Linked DNA regions of Macaca fascicularis. The protein of the gene in region 4 purifies or fractionates together with the protein of the main gene of each other region. This does not show direct contact. Links are inferred from orthologs where the notes say so. Each region holds a gene or a part of one and is shown on either strand. Other genes may lie near its edges. The genes, in order: DTL, DCAF1, DDB2 and COPS4.

Region 1 (4,894 bases), on a different chromosome or scaffold from region 4:
TCCAGCCTGGGTGACAGAGCAAGACTCTGTCTCAAAAAAAAAAAAAAGCTAATGCATGCTGGGCTTAATACCTAGGTGATGGGTTGATATGTGTAGCAAACCACCACGGCACACATTTACCTACGTAACAAACCTGCGTGTCCTGCACATGTACTCTGGAACTTAAAATAATAAAAACAAAGATGCACACATAAAAAATCAGTAGTCAGCACTCTTTGGCATGAGCAAAGATAATTTGTGGACTCATAGAAATTACACATTCCCTTAATTACCACATGAGAACTAACATCTGATGTCAAATTCCTTTCCATGAGTTCACTAGTTATATATTCTCTAAAATGGAATCTTTCTGAAACATATTCCAGTTCAAAAATCTTCATGATACTGGCTGGGCACAGTGGCTCACACCTGTAATCCCAGCACTTTGGGAGGCCGAGGCAGGCAGATCACTTGAGGCCAGGAGTTAACCAGCCTGGCTAACATGGTAAAACCCCATCTCTACCAAAAACAAACAAACAAACAAACAAAAAACAAAAATAAAAAGAACTTCATGATGCTCTCTGAATGGAATGTAAAATACTTTAGTTTGACATTCAACATTTTGCATTCTTTAGTCTTTATCTTGGTTGCAAGCCTCATCTCTCACTGTTTTCGATATCTTATTCCAACCAAATTGGTCACTTCCTATTTTATTATATCCTATGCTTTTCCATCTCTAGACCTTTGCTAATGCTTTTCCCTTCACCTGGAGTACCCCCTTCCATTTCCACCGGTCTAAATACCATAGTCCAACTCAAATGCCCCATTCTTCATAAATTTTCCTAGCCTTCTTTACTACATGAGAGTTTTCTCTTTGACACCAGTGTGTTTTCTTTCTACTTCTGTATAATTTATAGCCTTTGTTTTATTTATTTCAACACTTGACTTATAGGTTCCAAATTATCAGCTTCTTAAGGTTAGAAGAACTTTGCTTTATACCTGAAAAATGTTCGATCAATATAAATATTTTAAAGCAACACTTCTCTAACCACATTAAGTGTTAAAGATTCAACTTTTTGAAGGAATTGTTTTTAATCCTAAAATGTATTTTTCTTAACTTTGAGTAAAGGCATTGTCATAGTTAACAGTTATTGACAGATAGGTAGTCCACCATTCACATCTAACCTGGTCCCTAAAAAGACTTCATCAGAAGTTAACATAATCAGGAATGTGTTATATATACTTCAGATGTTTGTCCCTTCCCAAATCTCATGTTACAATTCAATCCTGAAAGTTGGAGGTGGGACTTAATGGAAGGCATTTGGGTCATGGGGGTGTATCCCTCATGAACAGATTAATGCCCTCCCTAAGAGGTGAACAGATGAGTGACTTCTTACTCTATTAGTTCCCTGGAAAGCTGATTGTTTAAAAAAGAGCTTGGTACTACCCCTTTCTCTTGCCATGTAACCTCTGTATTCATGGGCTCCTCTTTGCTTTCTGCCATGAGTTGGGGCAGACTGAGGCCTTCACCAGATGTCTAATCTTCTAGCCAGCAGAATCATGCACCAAATAAACCTTTTTTCTTTATAAACTACCCAGTCTCAGTTATTCCTTTGTAGCAACACAAGACAGACTAAAACAGAATGTGTTCAAATAATAATACACTTGAGGATCTGTAAAGTTTTTTAAATGTTAAAACAAAAATTGTAGACCTAGACTTACCTTTGAAGCACTTCTTTCTGAAAGTTTGTGATTCAGTGTTATACAATCGAACAAAGCCTTCTTCATTGGCAACTGCTAGTACGTGTTCCATATTGGGAGCTAAAGCAGAAATAAAGAATAAAATATATGAAGAGTAACACAAAATTTTTTTTTTTTTTTAGACGGAGTCTGGCTCTGTCGCCCAGGCTGGACTGCAATGGCACGATTTGGCTCACTGCAACCTCCACCTCCTGGGTGCAAGTGATTCTCCTGCCTCAGCCTCCCAAGTAGCTGGGATTACAGGCATGCACCACCACACCCAGCTAATTTTGTATTTTTACCAGAGATGGGGTTTCACCATGTTAGTCAGGCTGGTTTTGAATACCTAACCTCAAGTGATCCACCTGCCTCAGCCTGCCAAAGTGCTGGGATTACAGGCATAAGCCACTGCGCCCAGCCACAAAACTTTTTAAGTTTCCTCAAAACCACCAAAATTTTCTTCACATAATCTCTTATTTAGAGAAGGGCTAAATCGAGGGTTGTACTTAAACAAAACAGGAGTGGTACTGGCCAATGGCAAACAAAAGCATATGATGATATAGGCCGCCAGCAGGCTGAGTCTATTAGTTTTGTTTTTTTTTTTTAATCATATTTTTATTTACGTATTTTTACCACAATCATTGCTACGTAATAGTCTATTAGTTTTTGTTTTTGAGACGCAGTCTCCCTCTGTCACCTAGGCTGGAATGCAGTGGCGTGATCTTGGCTCACTGCAACCTCCGACTCCCAGGTTCAAGCGATTCTCTTGCCTCAGCCTCCCCAGTAGCCGGGACTACAGGCGTGCACCACCACGCTCGGCTAATTTCTGTAAGGAGTCTATTAGTTTTAAATTTCCTTTTCACAACTTTTTCTCTCCTCTCAAAACTATTATGGGTGGAGACAAGTACTTCCATTTCTTTCTTTTTTCTTTTTTTGGAGATGAAGTCTCACTCTGTCACCCAGGCTGGAGTGCAATGGCACAATCTTGGCTCACAGCAACCTCTGCCTCTCAGGTTCAAGTGATTCTCTTGTCTCAGCCTCCCAGGTAGCTGAGATTACAGGCATGCGCCACTACGCCCAGCTAATTTTTTGCAATTTTAGTAGAGATGGGGTTTTACCATGTTGGCCAGGCTGGCCTCGAACTCCTGACCTCAAGTGATCTACCCGCCTTGGCCTCCCAAAGTTCTGGGATTACAAGTGTGAGCCACTGCACCCAGACCCGCCTTGGCCTCCTAAAGTGCTGGGATTTCAGGCGTGAGCTACTCAGCTTGGCCAAAGTACTTCTATTTCTGTTCATATATTCCCCAGTGAGTCACAGAAAGATACATTCAACCAGATCAAAGGGTATGTATCTACTGGGTAAAACAGTTTTCATTGTAGCTGAACCTTTGCCACCATTTCCTTATATTGGTTTTTTAAAAATGGTGCTATAATAATCCTATGCTTTAGAAGAAATATAGTTATGCTAATGATGCATAGAGATTAAGAAAAGTCTATTTTATAAATCAAAAGACAACAGTTTTTACAAAAACTCTAACATCTACCTAGTTTACTTTTTGAAGTATATTTGCCCTGTAAATGTGAAATAGATCATTTCTGTCCAAGCCTTGCCTAGAGAGTAATTCTCTTACCAGAAGAGAAGGTACATCCAAAAGGAGGAACCGGGACTCCTGTTTCTCCATAAGAAGTGTGTTCATCATTACCACTGCATTGATAACCAGTCAGAAGGGATTGTAGAGGGTATTGTGAAGACCATCCTAAAACAAGACAATTCCTTATAGAATTCCAATAGAGCATCACATTTCAGCATTTTTAACAAATCCAGAGGTATATATTTGTTCTTAAGAAACTTTAGATATTAACATAGATCCACTTACTATTAATATCTATGGAAGACACTGTTTCTGGTATTTCCTTAAAAGAGTCCTAAGGAAAAAATGAAAAAGCACTTCCAACTTCTGGGGAGGTATAGCTTTGGGCTTACTATCTAAAATGAAGACTCTCACTAGCACATTGAGATTAGAAGAAATAAGAGGCCTTTGCATATTAAGAAAGATCTTCCTCCTTCTCCTACCAAAGAGACAACCACAAAAGCATTCCATTAAAACTGTTATCCCTTTCTATTAAATTCTTATGCTGGAACATCATACAAAATCCAGTGGTCAAAGAGCCAAAGAAAATAATATATATCAATGCAACTACTATAGCCAGTAACATATTCACCAAATTTACTTTCTTTTTCCTTTACTGCTGAAATTGTAGGAATCTAAAATGTTAATAGCAACGCTTATAGTATCTTAAATGATATTAGAGAAATTGTAAAGTGAAGCGTTATGTACCTACCCCTAGTAAACATTTAGTTAGCCCTGGCTAGTGGCAGTGGGTCAGGCAGTCTTTACAGGAGGTCTTGAAAGATGGGTAAATTTTCACTGAATTTAGAATAGAGAACAGGAAACTCAGGGTGGAAGAAAAGTTTATTCTGCTTGGGTCAGAGATCTAACGTGCACTATGGTCCTACATAGTAAGATATCTTCAGAGATTTGTTTTTATCATACTCATTTGTGGTCAAGACATTTTAAACATATAAAAGAAACATTCATTCAACAAGTAATTACTGAAAACCAAATGTTCAATAAGCATTGGAGGAATCACTGAGTTTACAATCTATTGAAAGCATAACAAACTCACATTTTAGGGTACTCTGAATTCTCACTTTTCATCAAAAGTACTATGTGGAGAATACATCCTAGCTTGATATAACCTCAGACAAATCTACATTTGGATGCTCATAGACATAACCTGAAGGAATCAATAGAAGGGCACCAAAAAATTTAATCCAAATTTAATAATTAGTTCTGGGGCCATCATGTCATAATTTCAACATCAGATATCATTGTAAAGGAGCTGTTAAAGACCACTAAAAGAATGCAATAGGCTGGGCGCGTTGGCTCATGCCTGTAATCCCAGCACTTTGGGAGGCCGAGGTGGGAGGATCACGAGGTTAGGAGATCAAGACCATCCTGGCTAATCCGTGAAACCCCGTCTCTACTAAAAATAAAAACAAAAACAAAAACAAAACAAAAAAAATTAGCCAGGCATGGTGGCAGGCGCCTGTAGTCCCAGTTACTCAGGAGGCTGAGGCAGGAGAATGGCGTGAACCCGGGAGGCAGAGCTT
Region 2 (5,364 bases), on a different chromosome or scaffold from region 4:
TCTCTTTTCTGGAAAGAGGGAAATGGGATCTAGTGGGGAGTGAAACCAAGGGAACCAGGATTCAGGTTCCTTACTAGCTGTGGAACACTGAGCATAGCGGCAGGCTTGCTGTGTCTTGTGTTCATGTGACAGTATTGTCCGTGAAGACTCATGGAAATGCACGGAGACTTGCTCAGCATTCCCAGAGAGATAATGAGCTGCGTAAGGCCTTGAAGGTTGGGTAGGATCTTGTCAGGTCAAGATTCTCCTCAAATGTGGAGTCATGTTTATCTTCTATGCCCCGCAAAAGGGACCGCTGGTCGGAGTAAGGAGTCTTCTGGTTCTGCTAATTGGTTGTGTGATGCTGGGCAAGTCACTCACTCCCTCTGGGCCTCATTTTTCCCAATAACATGAAGAAATTGAATTAAGTGACCTGTGAGGTCAGTCCTGCCTCAATCTATGAGCTTTTGATTTTTCACTTCTCTGCCTCACGTATAATACCTGGCAATAAGTATCTATTGATTCCTACAGGCTAGGTCTTGAACAAAAAGAGAGGCTGGGCGCAGTGGCTCATACCTGTAATCCCAACACTTTGAGGGACTGAGGCAGGAGAATCACTTGAGCCTAGAAATTCAAGACCAACCTGGACAACACAGTGGGACTCCGTCTCTACAAAAATTTTAAAAAATTAGCTGGGTGTGGTGGTGCACACCCGTAGTCCCAGCTACTTGGGAGACTGAAGTGGGAAGACAGCTCGAGCCCAGGAGGTTGAGGCTGTAGTGAGCTGTGATTGCGCCATTGCACCCCAGCGTGGGTGACAGAGCGAGGCTCTGTCTCAAAAAAAAAAAAAAAAAAAGACGGAGAACAAAGAGGCTGGGAGGCCCCGGTGGGTGGACCGCTTCAGCCCAGGAGTTCGAGACCAGACTGGCCAATATGGTGAAACCATGTCTCTACCAAATACACACACACAAAACAAAAACAAAAATTAACTGGGTGTCGTGGCATGCACCTGTAGTCTCAGCTGGAGGCTGAGGTGGGAGGACTGTTTGAGCCCGGGAGGCGGAGGTCGCAGTGAGCTGAGATCGTCACTGCACTCCAGCCTGGGCAACAGAGCGAGGCTCTGTCTCAAAACAAACACATAAAAAACAACTAGTGCCTTCTGTTTTAATGAGTGCTGTGATTTCTGATATGTTTATGAGAAAATATTTTCTTAGATCACGGTATGTTCTAGGTAAGATGAGGCAAATAGCCGAATAAAACAGAGGCTCTTTGCGCACACAGGTCAGAACAAGACACTAAAGCATCAGGCGATTATAGTACTGTCTTGGAAGGATTGACTCCCTCACTTTTCACTTCCGCTTTCCGAAGCAGCCAATGAGTACTCAGCAGTTCGCATTTATCCAAAAAAACTACAAATCCAGAAGTCAATGCGCGGGGCGAAGAGCTCATGCGTCAATTGGGACTGGTGGGCCCGCCCCTAGACGCGGAACTTCATTTCCCAGGCGTCCCCGGGGCTCTTCGATTTTCCTCGGATCGTGCAGGCGTTCTCCTCCCGCCCCTTGCTCACTGTCCTCGCGCCAAGTAGGCGCGCGCGCCCGCGCGCGCGGTGCACGTAGCGCGCGAGTGACGCATAATATGTGGGCCGCTGTGGAGCCGTGGTCGCGCTGTGTGTGTATGTGAGTGAAGAGTGAGTGCGGGACCTGAGGCTGTGTGTGTGAACTGTGGCCACTGGCGGGGTCGCGGGGGGGCAGTGGCGGAGCCGCCTCGGACGGTGAGTGGGAAATGGAGGGAGGCGACTCTACGGGAGGGGCGCGAGGAGGCAGGGCGCGTGGCTGGCCGGGCGGCAGAGTGGGCGCCGGGCTGGGGGAGGGGCGGCACCTGCTTGGGCCGCCGGCGAGGAGGGGGCGGGCCGGTCAGCCGGGAGGCTGGGCCCGGGGCCTGACAGGACTTTTCCTCCTCCTGATTCTTGTCCCGGGGGCGGGGCCTCCACGTTCTTCCTCCACTCCCCACGAGAAGCTTCCCGAGAGTAACTCTTCCGCCCGGAGTGGGGGGGCGGGGTGTGTCAGCCCCTACCTGGAGGGAGGGGCGCATGTCATATCCCTTGTCATCTTTTCCCTTCCAATCTTCCTAGTCTCTGTTCCGTACGGGCTTGGGGGGGCTCCATCTTCCGTACTATACGGCGGGCCCCTTCACGGACTGTGTCTCCGCCTCCGGCTCCAGTCACCTGGGCGGGCTCTCCAGTCTCTCGGCCTCGTGCCACCTCTCCCTGCACCCGCCCGGCTCTTGGACCTTGCGACGGGGGCGGAGCTTTCTGGTCACTCCTCTCATCCCCATGAAGAAGGGAAGGGTTGGAAAGAGGTGTGCGGGTCCCGCAGCCTGGAGTCAAACCTCAGAGTGCCCGCCAAACTTCCCGGGAGTCTGTTTCCGGGGGTTATAGTAGTTTTCAACTGGGGTTTCAGAAGCGTTTGCTTCACAACTTCACTTCCTAGACGGTTTTCTGTCTGGCTTCCTCTTACTGCAGTGGCAGCGCTCTGGTTTTCCATTTGTTGAGGAAATAGTTTTGGAGTGTTTGTATTAGTTATTTTTGAGTCAGAAATGACTTGTCCTTGGCCACGTCATGTTGGTCTCGGTTTTTCCTTACCCTGTTTTTTCGATGAAGCCTTTTAATTAGTCTTTACACGTTTTAATTTTTTATGTTAGTAGCATCTTCCTGTTCAAAATGCATTGTTAATGTACAGAATGAGAGGTTAATTGGTAATATCCTTCATTTTCTTTTTCCAGCTTACTGGAGTTTACCTTTAATGTTTATGTGTGTATATGTAGACTTTAGGAATCGATTTAGTATTTTTCTTAATGATGTGAACATTTGGGTTTTCTATATAGCAGTTATTCATTACCCATTTTTGAGTAGGTATATATATTTGGATGTTGAGATAATAGAGAATTTGGGGAGTGTAGGGAAATCATTTTTTGCTCAGTACCTCTTGGGTAGTTGCTGAGTACAGTGTTTTACTGTTCTGCCTATTATACAGTTTTTAAATTTTTTATTTTTATTCATTTATTTTTTGTAGAGACAGTAGTCTTACTGTGTTGCCCAGGCTGGTCTGGAACTCAAGTGATCCTCCCTTGTCAACCTCCCAAAGTGTTGGAATTACAGGCACGAGCCACTACACCTAGACTGTTTTTTTTTTAGATACAGGATCTTGCTCTGTAGCCTAGGCTGGAGTGCAGTGGTGTGATCATAACCCTTTTTTTTTTTTTTTTTGAGACAGAGTCTCGCTCTGTCGCCCAGGCTGGAGTGCAGTGATGCGATCTCGGCTCACTGCAAGCTCCGCCTCCTAGGTTCACGCCATTCTCCTGCCTCAGTCTCCTGAGTAGCTGAGATTACAGACGCCTGACATCACGCCCGGCTAATTTTTTGTAGAGACAGGGTTTCAGTGTGTTAGCCAGGATGGTCTCGAGTGTGATCATAACTCATTGCAGCCTCTAACTCCTGGACTCAAAGGAGCCTGCTGCCTCAGCCTCCTGAGTAACTAGGACTGCAGGCACAGGCTACCATGATTGGGTAATTTTTAAATTTTTGTGTAGACTGTGTCTCGAAATGTTGCCCAACTGACCTCAAGTAATCCTCCCGACTTGGCCTTCCAAAGTGTTGGGATTACAGGCTTGAGCCACTGTGCCTGGCAAGTTTTTAATTTTTTTTTTTTTTTTTGAGACGGAGTCTTGCCCTGTTGCCCAGGCTGGAGTGCAGTGGCATGATCTCCGCTCACTGCAACCTCCGCTTCCCGGGTTCAAGTGATTCTCATGCCTCAGCCTCTGGAGTAGCTAGGGATTACAGGTGTGTGCTACCACGCCTGGCTAATTTTTTTATTTTTAGTAGAGATGCGGATTTGCCATTTTGGCCAGTCTGGTCTTGAACTTTGGCCTCAAGTAATCCACCCACTTCAGTCTCCCAAAGTGCTAGGATTACAGGCATGAGCCATTGTGCCCGGCAAACAATTGTTAATATTATGCCATATTTTTTCTGTTTTTGTGTGTGGTATCTATATATTTATTTTGTGGACTACGCTAGCAGACACTTGTTAGGATAAGGAAATTTTACATAAGTATTTCTTGAGGCTTTGTATTATCCCACCATGGGGACAATATTGTCATTTAACCCCGCACAACAACTGTTTCCATCTTACAGATAAGGAAATTGAGATTTGGAGAAGTTAAATAACCAAGACTTCACAGGTATGTCAGCAGAATTGGGATTTGAATCCTTGAAATACTTTTTCTACCTAGTACTAGCTGGTCTTGGGGACCTCTCGGAGCTTGTTTCCTCATGTGTAAAAAAGGGTAGGATGGTTGTGAAAATTCAGAATAATGTAAGTGTAGTAAATTACTTACTCAATGTCTGTTCCATACTAGATATTCACTAATTGGTAACTATGTGTCACCATTGGACAGACCATCATTTCTTCATAGCACTTAAATAACTCACTTAAGAACTTGAGTAATGCATCCTCACTGTCTTGGGCATAACAAGGTGAAGATGACTGTCTTTTTGCTCTTGTTGCCCAAACTGGAGTGTAGTGGTGCGATCTCGGCTCCCCACAACCTCTGCCTCCTGGGTTCAAGTGATTCTCCTGCCTCAGCCTCCCGAGTAGCTGGGATTACAGGCACGTGCCACCATGCCTGGCTAATTTTTTTTGTATTTTTGTAGAGACGCAGTTTCACTATGTTGGCCAGGCTGGTCTCGAATTCCTGACCTTGTGATCCACCGGCCTCGGCCTCCCAAAGTGCTGGGATTACCAGGCGTGAGCCATTGTGCCCGGCCTAATTTTGTGTTTTTAGTAGAGACGGGGTTTCTTCATGTTGGTCAGGCTGGTCTCAAACTCCCAACCTCAGGTGATCTGCCTGCCTTGGCCTCCCAAAGAGCTGGGATTACAGGCATGAGCCACTGTGCCCAGCCTTTTTTTTTTTTTTTTCTTGAGACAAGGTCTCGCACTTTTGCTCTGGCTGGAGTACGGTGGTGCAGTCATGACTCACTGTGGCCTACACCTCCTAGGCTCAAGCAGTTCTCTTGCTTTAGCCTCCCTGAGTAGCTGGAACTACAGGTTGCAGTGAGCAGAGATTGCGCCCCTGCACTCCAACCTGGGCAACAGAGCGAGATTCCGTCTCACAAAACAAAAAATCAAAACTAAAAAACAAACATTGAAGTAGGTACTACTATTACTAATTTTTAAATTTTTTTCATAGAGGCAGGATTTCATCATGTGTTGCCCAGGCTGGTCTCAAACTCCTGGGCTCAGGTGATCTGCCCACCTAGGTTTTCCAAAGTGCTGGGATTACAAGTGTGAGCCAGCACACCCAGTTGCTGACTGTTTTCATTGATACTAA
Region 3 (4,894 bases), on a different chromosome or scaffold from region 4:
GCTCCATCGGGACTGAAACAAGCTGGCAAAGTGAAAAGCCCCTGAGCTGAAGGAACCACGAGCCCCCTGTGGTCCTGGCCTTGCAGGCCTTCTCCTGCAGGGGTACCCTCCCTACCACTCCTCTCTAGACAGGAGCGGAAAGGAAGAGGTGAATCTGGGCTATGAACAACAACAAAATTCTGGAAACTCAGCAGTTGATGGGGACAGCCACAGCCACAAAGATTCCCAGACATCAGCTTGGCAGACGCTATCAGGGGTAAAGGTTTGTGGTAGTGGCTTCCACGCTGAGGGAACACCCCAGCAGCAGTCAGATAGGCAGGGTCTGCAGGAGAGATGAGGTCTGGGATATCACACCTGCGTTGACAGGATGCCTGTGCGGCAGCGAGTAGAGGAAGCTGGCTTTCCCTCTAACCTGGCGCAGGTCCCAGATTTTCACTGTTTGATCTACGGAGGCTGTGGCCAGGAACCAATCACAGCATGGGTTCAGGGCCACATGCGTCACTTTCTTTTTGTGCATTCTGAGATTCCAAAGCTGCAGAGAAGAGCTCGGTTCAGGTGGGGACACAGAACCGAGGCGGGGATGAGGGAGGGAAAGGCAGGACCTGGGAGAACGCACCTCTTTGCCGTCCATGTTCAGCAGGATCACGTTCCCCACGTTGTCTCCTGTGACCACCATTCGGCTACTGGCGGACACATCCAGGCTACAAAACCAGATGCTGGAGGGAAAGACTGTGTTGTAAGATTCTTGGGGACAGAGATAGGCCTGTTTACTCACTGTTGCTGCTCCAGTGACTAACCCACAGTGGGCATTCAATAAATATTTGTTGAATGAATGAATAACTGTCTTGCTGTGGATTCCTAGCGAGGAACATTCAGACTGCTCTACCGTCCAGACAGAGGGAATGGGGTAATGGGGCTCAGAAATCTGTCTGGTTACTGCTGGGCCCAGGATCCCCAGCTCCTAAGAGTCTCTGAAGCAGACAAAGCTCAAACCATAAAGCAAGCCTCAGGGCACGCCCGCCCCCACACCCCGGGTTCTAAGCAATCCTCCTTTACTGCTCTCTCCTTTCACTCTCCACCCTTTGGGCCAAAGGAGACACAAGCCAAACAGGGATTGCCTGGCTCTGTTCCTCAGAGCTGGCTGGAAAGGCACTTCTGCCCCCTTCTGAACACTGAGGGAAAAACACACAACCAGGAGCTCTTCTGGTCCCTCAAACCACTGGACTGGGAGGCTGACTAGGGGTGCTTCAGGGATCCTGCTATCCAGCCAGAGGAGCTCAGCTCAGTTTTTCTCTCAAACCCTCAAATCCATGCTACACTGACTTTTGCCATCCCTTATGAATATCTTCAAGCAAGAAGATTTCTTGCGGAAAACGAGCCTGGAGCCTCGTCTATCCAATCACCTGCTGAATTGCGCATGCACTCCTCATCCCTGCAGGACAGCCCAGGATCCCATCCAATGCTAGTTACACCCCAGCACCCTCACTTAATTCCTCAGGGAGCAGTCAGAGTCCCGGCTCTAGCTGGAAATCAAAGTGACGAGCATTTTGTAATTTTTTTTTTTTTTTTGGAGATGGAATTTCACTCTTGTTGCCCAGGCTGGAGTGCAGTGGCGCAATCTTGGCTCACTGCAACCTCTGCCTCCTGGGTTCAAGCTACTCTCTTGTTTCAGCCTCCCAAGTAGCTGGGAATTACAGGCACCTACCACCACATCCGGCTCATTTTTTGTATTGTTAGTAGAGATGGGGTTTCACCATGTTGGCCAGGCTGGTCTTGAACTCCTGACCTCAGGTGATCCACCCACCTTGGCCTCCCAAAGTGCTGGGATTACAGGCATGAGCCACCGCACCCAGCTGCATTCTGTAATTTCTCCAGCCACTTTCTCTTGGGAAGTTCAGAGCACTTTATGGACAAGATTCCATCCATGTAAGCTTGCACCCAGGAACGGCTCAGGTCATTACACCACAGCGAGTGCAGGGAATTCAGTCTCAAGTTCTTAGCTGCTGCTCCATTCTCTAGGTGGCTTTCTGGGCCTATGCCATGCTGGCTTATCTAGTGAAGGTCCAGGTCTAGTCTAATACAGGTATGACTTACAGAAGAGCTGAGGCTCCAGAACACCTTCCCAAAGCAGTAACCCACCTGGACCAAAGTGAGGGTGGCCAAGGAACAGTTTGAGAAAGAGAAAGAAGGGCGGAAGGTGGCTGACATCTTTCCTTTCTTCCCTGTGCCAGGTTGGGTTGAGGAAATGGGATCTGGATGCTCTTGCCGGAACTACACCTAAGCTTAGAAGCCCTTTCCCCGCCTAGTTAAACTACTCACTTGATGGTGTCTGAGCTGGCAAAAACTCGTAGAATGTTGCCTTTAAAGTCTTGCAGCCTAGTTGTTCCCTCCATTGAGGAGGCGTAAAACTGGTTGGTATTGAGAGGGTTAAACTTCAGCCCAGTGATGCTCCCTCCAGCTCCAATCTAACACGAGGAAGGAAAAAGCCAGTGAGTGATGATGGGCCTGGCAGTGAGGAACCAGGCCTGGGCACGCGTGCTGCGCTGTCACGGAAGCACCAACGAGCAGTGCGTGGGGCCAGGTCAGCTCGGACACCTAAACACTAGGACGCTCTCCACAGAGCCTTCACTTCTTTTTCTTTTCCCTTGAAATAGGGTCTTTCTCTGTCACTTAGGCTGAAGTGCAGTGGCACGAACACGGCTCACTGCAGCCTCAATCTCCCAGGCTCAAGCGATCCTCCTACCTCAGCCTCCCAAGTAGCTGGGACTACAGGTGCACACACCATGCGCAGTTCATTTTTGTATTTTTTTTTTTTTTTTTTTAAAGATGGGGTTTTGTCATGTTGCCCAGGCTGGTCTTGAACTCTTGAGCTCAAGCGATCTGCCCACCTCAGCCTCCCTAAGTGCTGGCATTACAAGTGCTAATTTTTAAAAAATTGTTGGTAGAGACAGGGTCTCATTGTGGTGCCCAGGCTGGTCTCGAACTCCTGAGCTCAAGTGATCCTCCTACCGTGGCTTCCCAAAGTGCTAAGATTATAGGCATGAGCCACTTTGCCTGGCCCCTTCTTTTCTTTTTCTTCCTTTCTTTCTTTCTCTTTCTTCTTCCCTCCCTCCCTCCCTTTCCTTTTTTTTGTTTTTTTTTTTTTTGAGATGGAGTCCCACTCTGTCACCCAGGCTGGAGTGCAATGGCGTGATCCCGGCTCATTGCAACCTCTGCCTTCCAGGTTCAAGCGATTCTCCTGCCTCAGCCTCCCAAGCAGCTGGGATTACAGGTGCCCACCACCACGCATGGCTAAATTTTGTATTTTTAGAAGAGACAGGGTTTCACCATGTTGGCCAGGCTGGTCTTGAACTCCTGACCTCAGGTGATCCGCCAGCCTCAGCCTCCCAAAGTGCTGGGATTATAGGCGTGAGCCACTAAGTCTGGCCTCCCTTCACTTCTTAAGGCTTTATTTTTACTTTCTTTTTTTTAATTAACATATAGCAAATTTGGGGTATACAGTTCTCTGAATTTTAACATATGTATAGATTTAAATAACCACCACCCAAATCAAAATGCAGAACATTTGCAACAGCCCAAAAACTCCATTGTGCTATCCCATTGCAATCACACCCTCCCCTCGCCCCCAGCCCCTGGCTGATCTGTTCTCCATCACTATTGTTTTGCCCTCATAGAATGTCCAATAGACCAGGCACAGTAATCCCACCACCTGGGAGACTGAGGCGGGGGGACTGCTTGAGGCCAGGAGTTCAAGACCAGCCTGAGCAATATAGGGAGAACCCCCATCTCTACAAAAAAAAAAAAAAAAAAAAAATATATATATATATATACACACACACACACACACACACACACATATATATATAGGCATGGTGGTAGGTGCCTGTGGTTCTAGCTCCTCAGAAGGCTGAGGTGGGAGGATGACGGAACCCTGGAGGTCGAGGCTGCAGTGAGTTGTGATCGCATCACTGCACTCTAGCGTGGGTGACAGAGCAAGATCCTGTCTCTAAAAATAAAATTAAATTAAAAATAGAATTAAAAATAGAATGTCATGTAAATGAATTAGGCAGTATGCAACCTTTTGAGACTGTCTTGTTTCATGTCACTCATCATGCCTCTGAGATTCATCTGAGTTTGCTTTATCAACAAGCTCATCTCATTTTATTGCTGAGGTATTATTCCATTTTATGGATGTGCCCTAATTTGCTATTCCCACAGTGCTCTCTTTAGAAGAGCTTCAGCTCAGAGCAGTGGTGGAGTTAGGAGGGCAAGAGTCAGATCTGTGCCCCTTCCTATTCTTCCAGTCATCCCAGAAAATTATGATGAAAGTAATCATGATAATATCAATGGCTTAACCTTATTAATTGCTTACTATGTATTAGGCACTGTTTTTTGGGGGGATTTTTTTTTTTTTTTTAGATGGAGTCTTGCTCTGTCGCCCAGGCTGGAGTGCGGTGGTACAACCTCAGCTCACTGCAGCCTCCACCTCCTGGATTCAAGCAATCCTCCTGCCTCAGCCTCCTGAGTAGCTGGGATTACATGCCCATACCATCACACCCGGCTAATTTTTGTATTTTTAGTAAAGACGAGTTTCACCATGTTGGTCAGGCTGGTCTCGAACTCCCGACCTCAGGTGATTGGCCTGCCTCAGCCTCCCAAAGTGCTGGGATTACAGGCGTGAGCCACTGTGCCCGGTCAGGCATTGTTTTAAGAACTTTACATCCCCAAGAGGGAAACTTCTCCACTTCTCTGCCTTTCTCCACCTTTCCACTTCTTCCTTACACTGCAGCTATCCCAGCCTCATAGAACTGTACAAGTTCCTCTATGCAACAATCACTTAGCTATCGCAACATACTAACTGGCACGTTCCCTTCCCTCTATAAAACGTTCTAAC
Region 4 (4,894 bases):
TGGATAAACTTCATAAAATTGAGCAAAAGAAGAATGAATACACTATATGATTTCATTTATATAAAAAAAATAAGACGGCTAATATATACTAGTGATTATTCTTGTAGGGTTAGGAGTTGGGGCTAGTGACTTGAAGAAAGCATAAAGAAGGCGGAGTGTTGGTAACATCTTGTTTCTTGTTCTGGATGCTTGTTACATGGAGGTGTTCAGCTTGTGAAAATTCATCAAGCTGTATACTTTTCATATGTGTACTTTTCCTGTGTGCATATCATACTAACAGAAAATAAGCAGGAAAAAAGTACAAAGTAAAAAGTTCAAAATAAAAGTTAAAAAAGGAAGAAAAAAGTTCATGCAGAAGAATAGAATGAGCAAATCACCATTTTGTAACATACAATGTAATGAATGACCCAAGCAAGGATTATTACTATTATTATTATTTTTTATTTTTCGAGACGGAATTTCGCTCTTGTTGCCCTGGCTGGAGTGCAATGCCGCGATCTCGGCTCACTGCAACCTCCGCCTCCCGGGTTGAAGTGATCCTCCTGCCTCAGCCTCCCGAGTAGCTGGGATTACAGGCATGTACCACCACACCCAGCTAATTTTGTATTTTTAGTAGAAACGAGGTTTCTCCATGTTGGTCAGGCTGGTCTCAAACTCACAACCTCAGGTGATCCGCCCACCTCGGCCTCCCAAAGTGCTGGGATTACAGGCGTGAGCCACCGCCCCCGGCCCCAAGCAGGGATTCTTAATGGATGCTAACTTATTATGTAAAAGGAAGTAGAAAACAGAATTTTTAATGTCATAGAATGCAAAAAGCTTATTGATATGGTTTCAGATTCCACATTGCAACTAACCTGTAAGAAACTATACCATCTGTCAAGTATAGTATCAAAGAATATCCACAATTACCTGAAAATGAGATTAAAATGTGCTTGTCTTTTCCAGCTACACATCTGTGTGAGGCTGAATTTTCTTCATATACTTTAACTAAAATAACCTATTCAAACGGAGTGAACGAGGAAGTGCCTATAAGAATTGAGCTGTTTCGGTCAAGCGCGGTGGCTCACACCTGTACTCCCAGCACTTTGGGAGTCCAAGGCGGGTGGATCACAAGGTCAGGAGATCGAGACCATCCTGGCTAATATGGTGAAATCCGGTCTCTACTAAAAAATACAAAAAATTAGCCAGGTGCGGTGGTGGGCAGCTGTAGTCCCAGCTACTCGGGAGGCTGAGGCAGGAGAATGGCATGAACCTGGGAGGCTGAGCTTGCAGTGAGCCAAGATTGCACCACTGCACTCCAGCCTGGGCAACAGAGCCAGACTCCGGGAAAAAAAAATTTTTTAATGCAAAACAATTCCATTCCCAGTAACATTTTTTGCTTAGAAAAATATAATTGTTTTTCATAAAAGTGTGTCATTTATGTTTACATGTAAAGGGTCTATTATTGCTACTTTAAAATAAATTAATAAATTATCTTAAATTACTCATTTAATTTCTAATAATCAGTAGATAGAATCTACATAAACAAGAGCTTTTGGGTTCTCAATACTTTTTCAGAGTGTAAAGGGGTCCTGACACCAAGAAATTTGAGAACCTAAAGTACTGAAAGAAAACATTGAGGGATTTAAAATGACATATAATTTCAGAGTAGGGAAGACTTTTCTAAGCAAGTCAACAAAACTTAGAAGCCATTAAAGAAAGATTAATAAATGTAATTAAGTAAACATTAAAAGGTTCTGCATGGGAAAAATGTCATAAACAAAACCAAAAAGATGACAAGTTAGGAAAAATTTTAATTTTCCTTTATATCTAAAGAGCTTTCACAAGTCACCAAGAAAGGACAAACAACTCAAAAAATGGCCAATCAACATAAATGTATAATTCACTCAATAAAGAAATACAGATTTTTCAACAATGTTTTTAAACATACAAAAAATGCTCAAGAGCTTTTGTAAATACAAATTAAAACTAAAGTGAGATATGGTTTTTCATCTATCGGATCAGAAAAGATAAAAGAATGTGGTAATATCTGTGTAAGAAATCAGGTGCTCATGAATATTTTTGTTTGGAGTGTAATAGTACAGGGCAATGTGTAACGTCTATCAAAAATTCAAAAGTATGTACCTTTGAATCCAGAAAGTTAACCTATACATATACTCATACATGTGCATAATCACTATAGTGTTGTGATTGACTAAATGAATTATGATAAAGCCAGACAACAGAAAATCAAAAAGAATGAGTTATATGTACTGACATGTAAAGATCACAATGATGTATACAGTTACAATAAAAAGGCAAGTTGCAAAAGTGTGTATATGCTACCATTTGTATTGAAAGAAATGTAAGAAACCAGTAAAAGTTCTTTAGAAAAAGAAGTAGTACCATGTTCATGTACTGCCTTTTCAGTAACAAAAAATAAAATAAATAAGATTACTAGTCTATAAAGAATAAAATGGGATGGGTGTGGTGGCTCACACCTGTAATCTCAGCACTTTGGGAAGCCAAGGCAGGTGGATCACATGAGCCCAGGAGCTCAAGACCAGACTGGGCAACATGGAGAAACCCCATCTCTAGAAAAATACAAAAAATTTAGCCAGGCATGGTGGTGTGCACCTGTAGTCCCAGCTACTTGGGAGGCTGAGGTGGGAGGATCACTTGAGCCCAGGAGGTTGAGGCTGCAGTGAGTAGTGATTGCGCCACTGCACTCCAGCCTGGGTGATAGAGTGATTTAAGAAAAGCTATGGTTTAGAATTAGCATTTCCTCTTAACACTCATTCTACTTCATAAGTGATTTACATGCTATAATTCAGTAAAAAGAACAAACAATATTTGTTACATGTATTGAAGAAAAGGATAAATGTCAGGTCTAAAACTGAGACTTGAAGGTTAAAAAAAAAATCAAAAGCAGTGTATTAATTATCATTTCATCAATCTACAGATTTTAATTTTTGTTTCACTCTGCACAATTCTCACTTAAGTTGATATCCACTTCTTTAGTGAAATTTTAGAACTTTACATTATCTCTTTTAACTATTCTTTTTTTTTTTTTTTTAGTGCAGGGGCGCAATCTCAGCTCACTGCAAGCTCCACCTCCTGGATTCACACCATTCTCCTGCCTCAGTCTCCTGAGTAGCTGGGACTACAGGCGCCCGCCACCATGCCCGGCTAATTTTTTGTATTTTTAGTAGAGACGGGGTTTCACTGTGTTAGCCAGGCTGGTCTCAATCTCCTGACCTCGTGATCCGTTACAGGTGTGAGCCACCGCACCCAGCCCTCTTTTAACTATTCTTAACACATATGCATAATAGACTGATATGAGCATATTAAATTATTTTAACAAATCATTTTATTTCTGTTTTTGTTTAAACACTTAAACTACATTTACCATAATTGTATTACAAAGACATCCCTTTGAAGAATAGTTCCTTGCTAAATTTTCCAACAGTAACCAACCTACAGTTATTAAGCAAAGATAACTGTTCATTTAAGTATAAATTATTACATGTTTACCTGCTGATGCTAAGATCGTACAGTGCAAAGCATGTTTTAAGGCCTCTAGTCTTTCACTTTCGTGGACTATTGTCTTGTAAGAGAGTTCATTGTACCTTTGTGCAGCTTCAATGAATTTTCTTCTATAATCAAGAACACGTGCATAGCATACCTACAGAAGGAAAATGTTTCAATTAGGCGACAAATTAAAAAGCGAGAGTTGAAAAAAAAAAAACAGAGAAACAATTTCTAATATTTCAGAGCATCTATCAGATGTTCTGGAATATCTTAGTATGTCACAATTCTCCAATACAAAATTAATTCCAAATCAACTTATCTGTTACCTTATAATGTATCTGTAATTGTTCATTGGTTGATTCATTCTGAAGCAACGATGCTCTATTTATGTAAGCCTCCGCCTGGACTGGATCATCATCCTCCAGATATAGCCTAGCAATCTTCAAGTAAGTCTCCAGTTTATAATCTACATTGTACTGTCTAGGATGTAACAGAAAAACACATAATGACTCAATATTTTGTCAAGAAAATTTTAGGAATAATAGAAGATATGTTGTTTTTTCCTCATATATATTCTAGTACCGTAAGGGAATCAAACTTTTTACTGCATTACACAAAAACTAAAAAGTTTTATTGAATTTTTATTATCATTAATCACATTATATCTTAGCTGCTTTTAATCCTCAATCTCACAAGCTAAAAGCTAAAGAACAACTGCTCAGTTTAGGGGTATATCATATATGACTAGTGGGACAACCTTCCTAGAAAATAATTGGGAAATATGCTCTCCAACCATCCTTTGAATCCTTTAAAATGCATATACCCTTAACCCACCATACATTTACCTTTAGAAAATAAATCCTAAGGCCAGGTGTGGCGGTTCATGCCTGTATTTCCAACACATTGGGAGGCCTAGGTGGGGGGGATCACCTGACGTCAGGAGTTCGAGACCACCCTGACCAACATGGTAAAAACACAAAATATTAGCCGGGCATGGTTGGCACACACTTGTAATCCCAGCTACTCGGGAGGCTGAGACAGGAGAATTGCTTGAACTCAGGAGGCAGAGGCTGCAGTGAGCCAAGATCGTGACATTGCACTCCGGCCTGGGTGACAGAGTGAGACTTAGTCCCAAAAAAAAAAAAAAAAAAGAAATCCTAAAAAGATAGCCAGATAGCCAGGGATGTGCATACATATGCATATAAAAGGATATTAATTTGTAAAATTATTTATAAATATCTATGCTAGGAAAAAAAATGGAAATCACCCATTATGATATTATTGGTGATCAAGTTGTGGTGCATAAAAATGGTAGAATACAAGGCTGGGCATGGTGGCCCACCTATAATCCCAGCACTTTGGGAGCCCGAGGCAGGCAGATCAC

What was found.
Region 1: the proteins of COPS4 (region 4) and DTL purify together in Homo sapiens (affinity purification with mass spectrometry; 3 studies listed by BioGRID). This does not show direct contact. The link is inferred for Macaca fascicularis from reciprocal best matches to the Homo sapiens genes COPS4 and DTL.
Region 2: the proteins of COPS4 (region 4) and DCAF1 purify together in Homo sapiens (affinity purification with mass spectrometry; 4 studies listed by BioGRID, with this or other methods). This does not show direct contact. The link is inferred for Macaca fascicularis from reciprocal best matches to the Homo sapiens genes COPS4 and DCAF1.
Region 3: the proteins of COPS4 (region 4) and DDB2 purify together in Homo sapiens (affinity purification with mass spectrometry; 7 studies listed by BioGRID and IntAct, counting the BioPlex papers as one, with this or other methods). This does not show direct contact. The link is inferred for Macaca fascicularis from reciprocal best matches to the Homo sapiens genes COPS4 and DDB2.

Annotation. Positions count from the first base shown.
Region 1 is NC_088375.1:69,850,570-69,855,463, reverse strand, and holds part of DTL (denticleless protein homolog), read right to left. Parts: intron 3,477-4,894; coding exon 3,351-3,476; intron 1,801-3,350; coding exon 1,702-1,800; intron 1-1,701. UniProt on the Homo sapiens protein: Substrate-specific adapter of a DCX (DDB1-CUL4-X-box) E3 ubiquitin-protein ligase complex required for cell cycle control, DNA damage response and translesion DNA synthesis.
Region 2 is NC_088376.1:114,509,418-114,514,781, reverse strand, and holds the start of DCAF1 (DDB1- and CUL4-associated factor 1), read left to right. Parts: upstream 1-1,623; 5' UTR 1,624-1,750; intron 1,751-4,168; 5' UTR 4,169-4,215; intron 4,216-5,364. UniProt on the Homo sapiens protein: Acts both as a substrate recognition component of E3 ubiquitin-protein ligase complexes and as an atypical serine/threonine-protein kinase, playing key roles in various processes such as cell cycle, telomerase regulation and histone modification.
Region 3 is NC_088388.1:18,611,286-18,616,179, forward strand, and holds part of DDB2 (DNA damage-binding protein 2), read right to left. Parts: intron 2,466-4,894; coding exon 2,320-2,465; intron 717-2,319; coding exon 617-716; intron 533-616; coding exon 355-532; intron 23-354; coding exon 1-22.
Region 4 is NC_088379.1:50,781,589-50,786,482, forward strand, and holds part of COPS4 (COP9 signalosome complex subunit 4), read right to left. Parts: intron 3,991-4,894; coding exon 3,837-3,990; intron 3,665-3,836; coding exon 3,514-3,664; intron 1-3,513. UniProt on the Homo sapiens protein: Component of the COP9 signalosome complex (CSN), a complex involved in various cellular and developmental processes.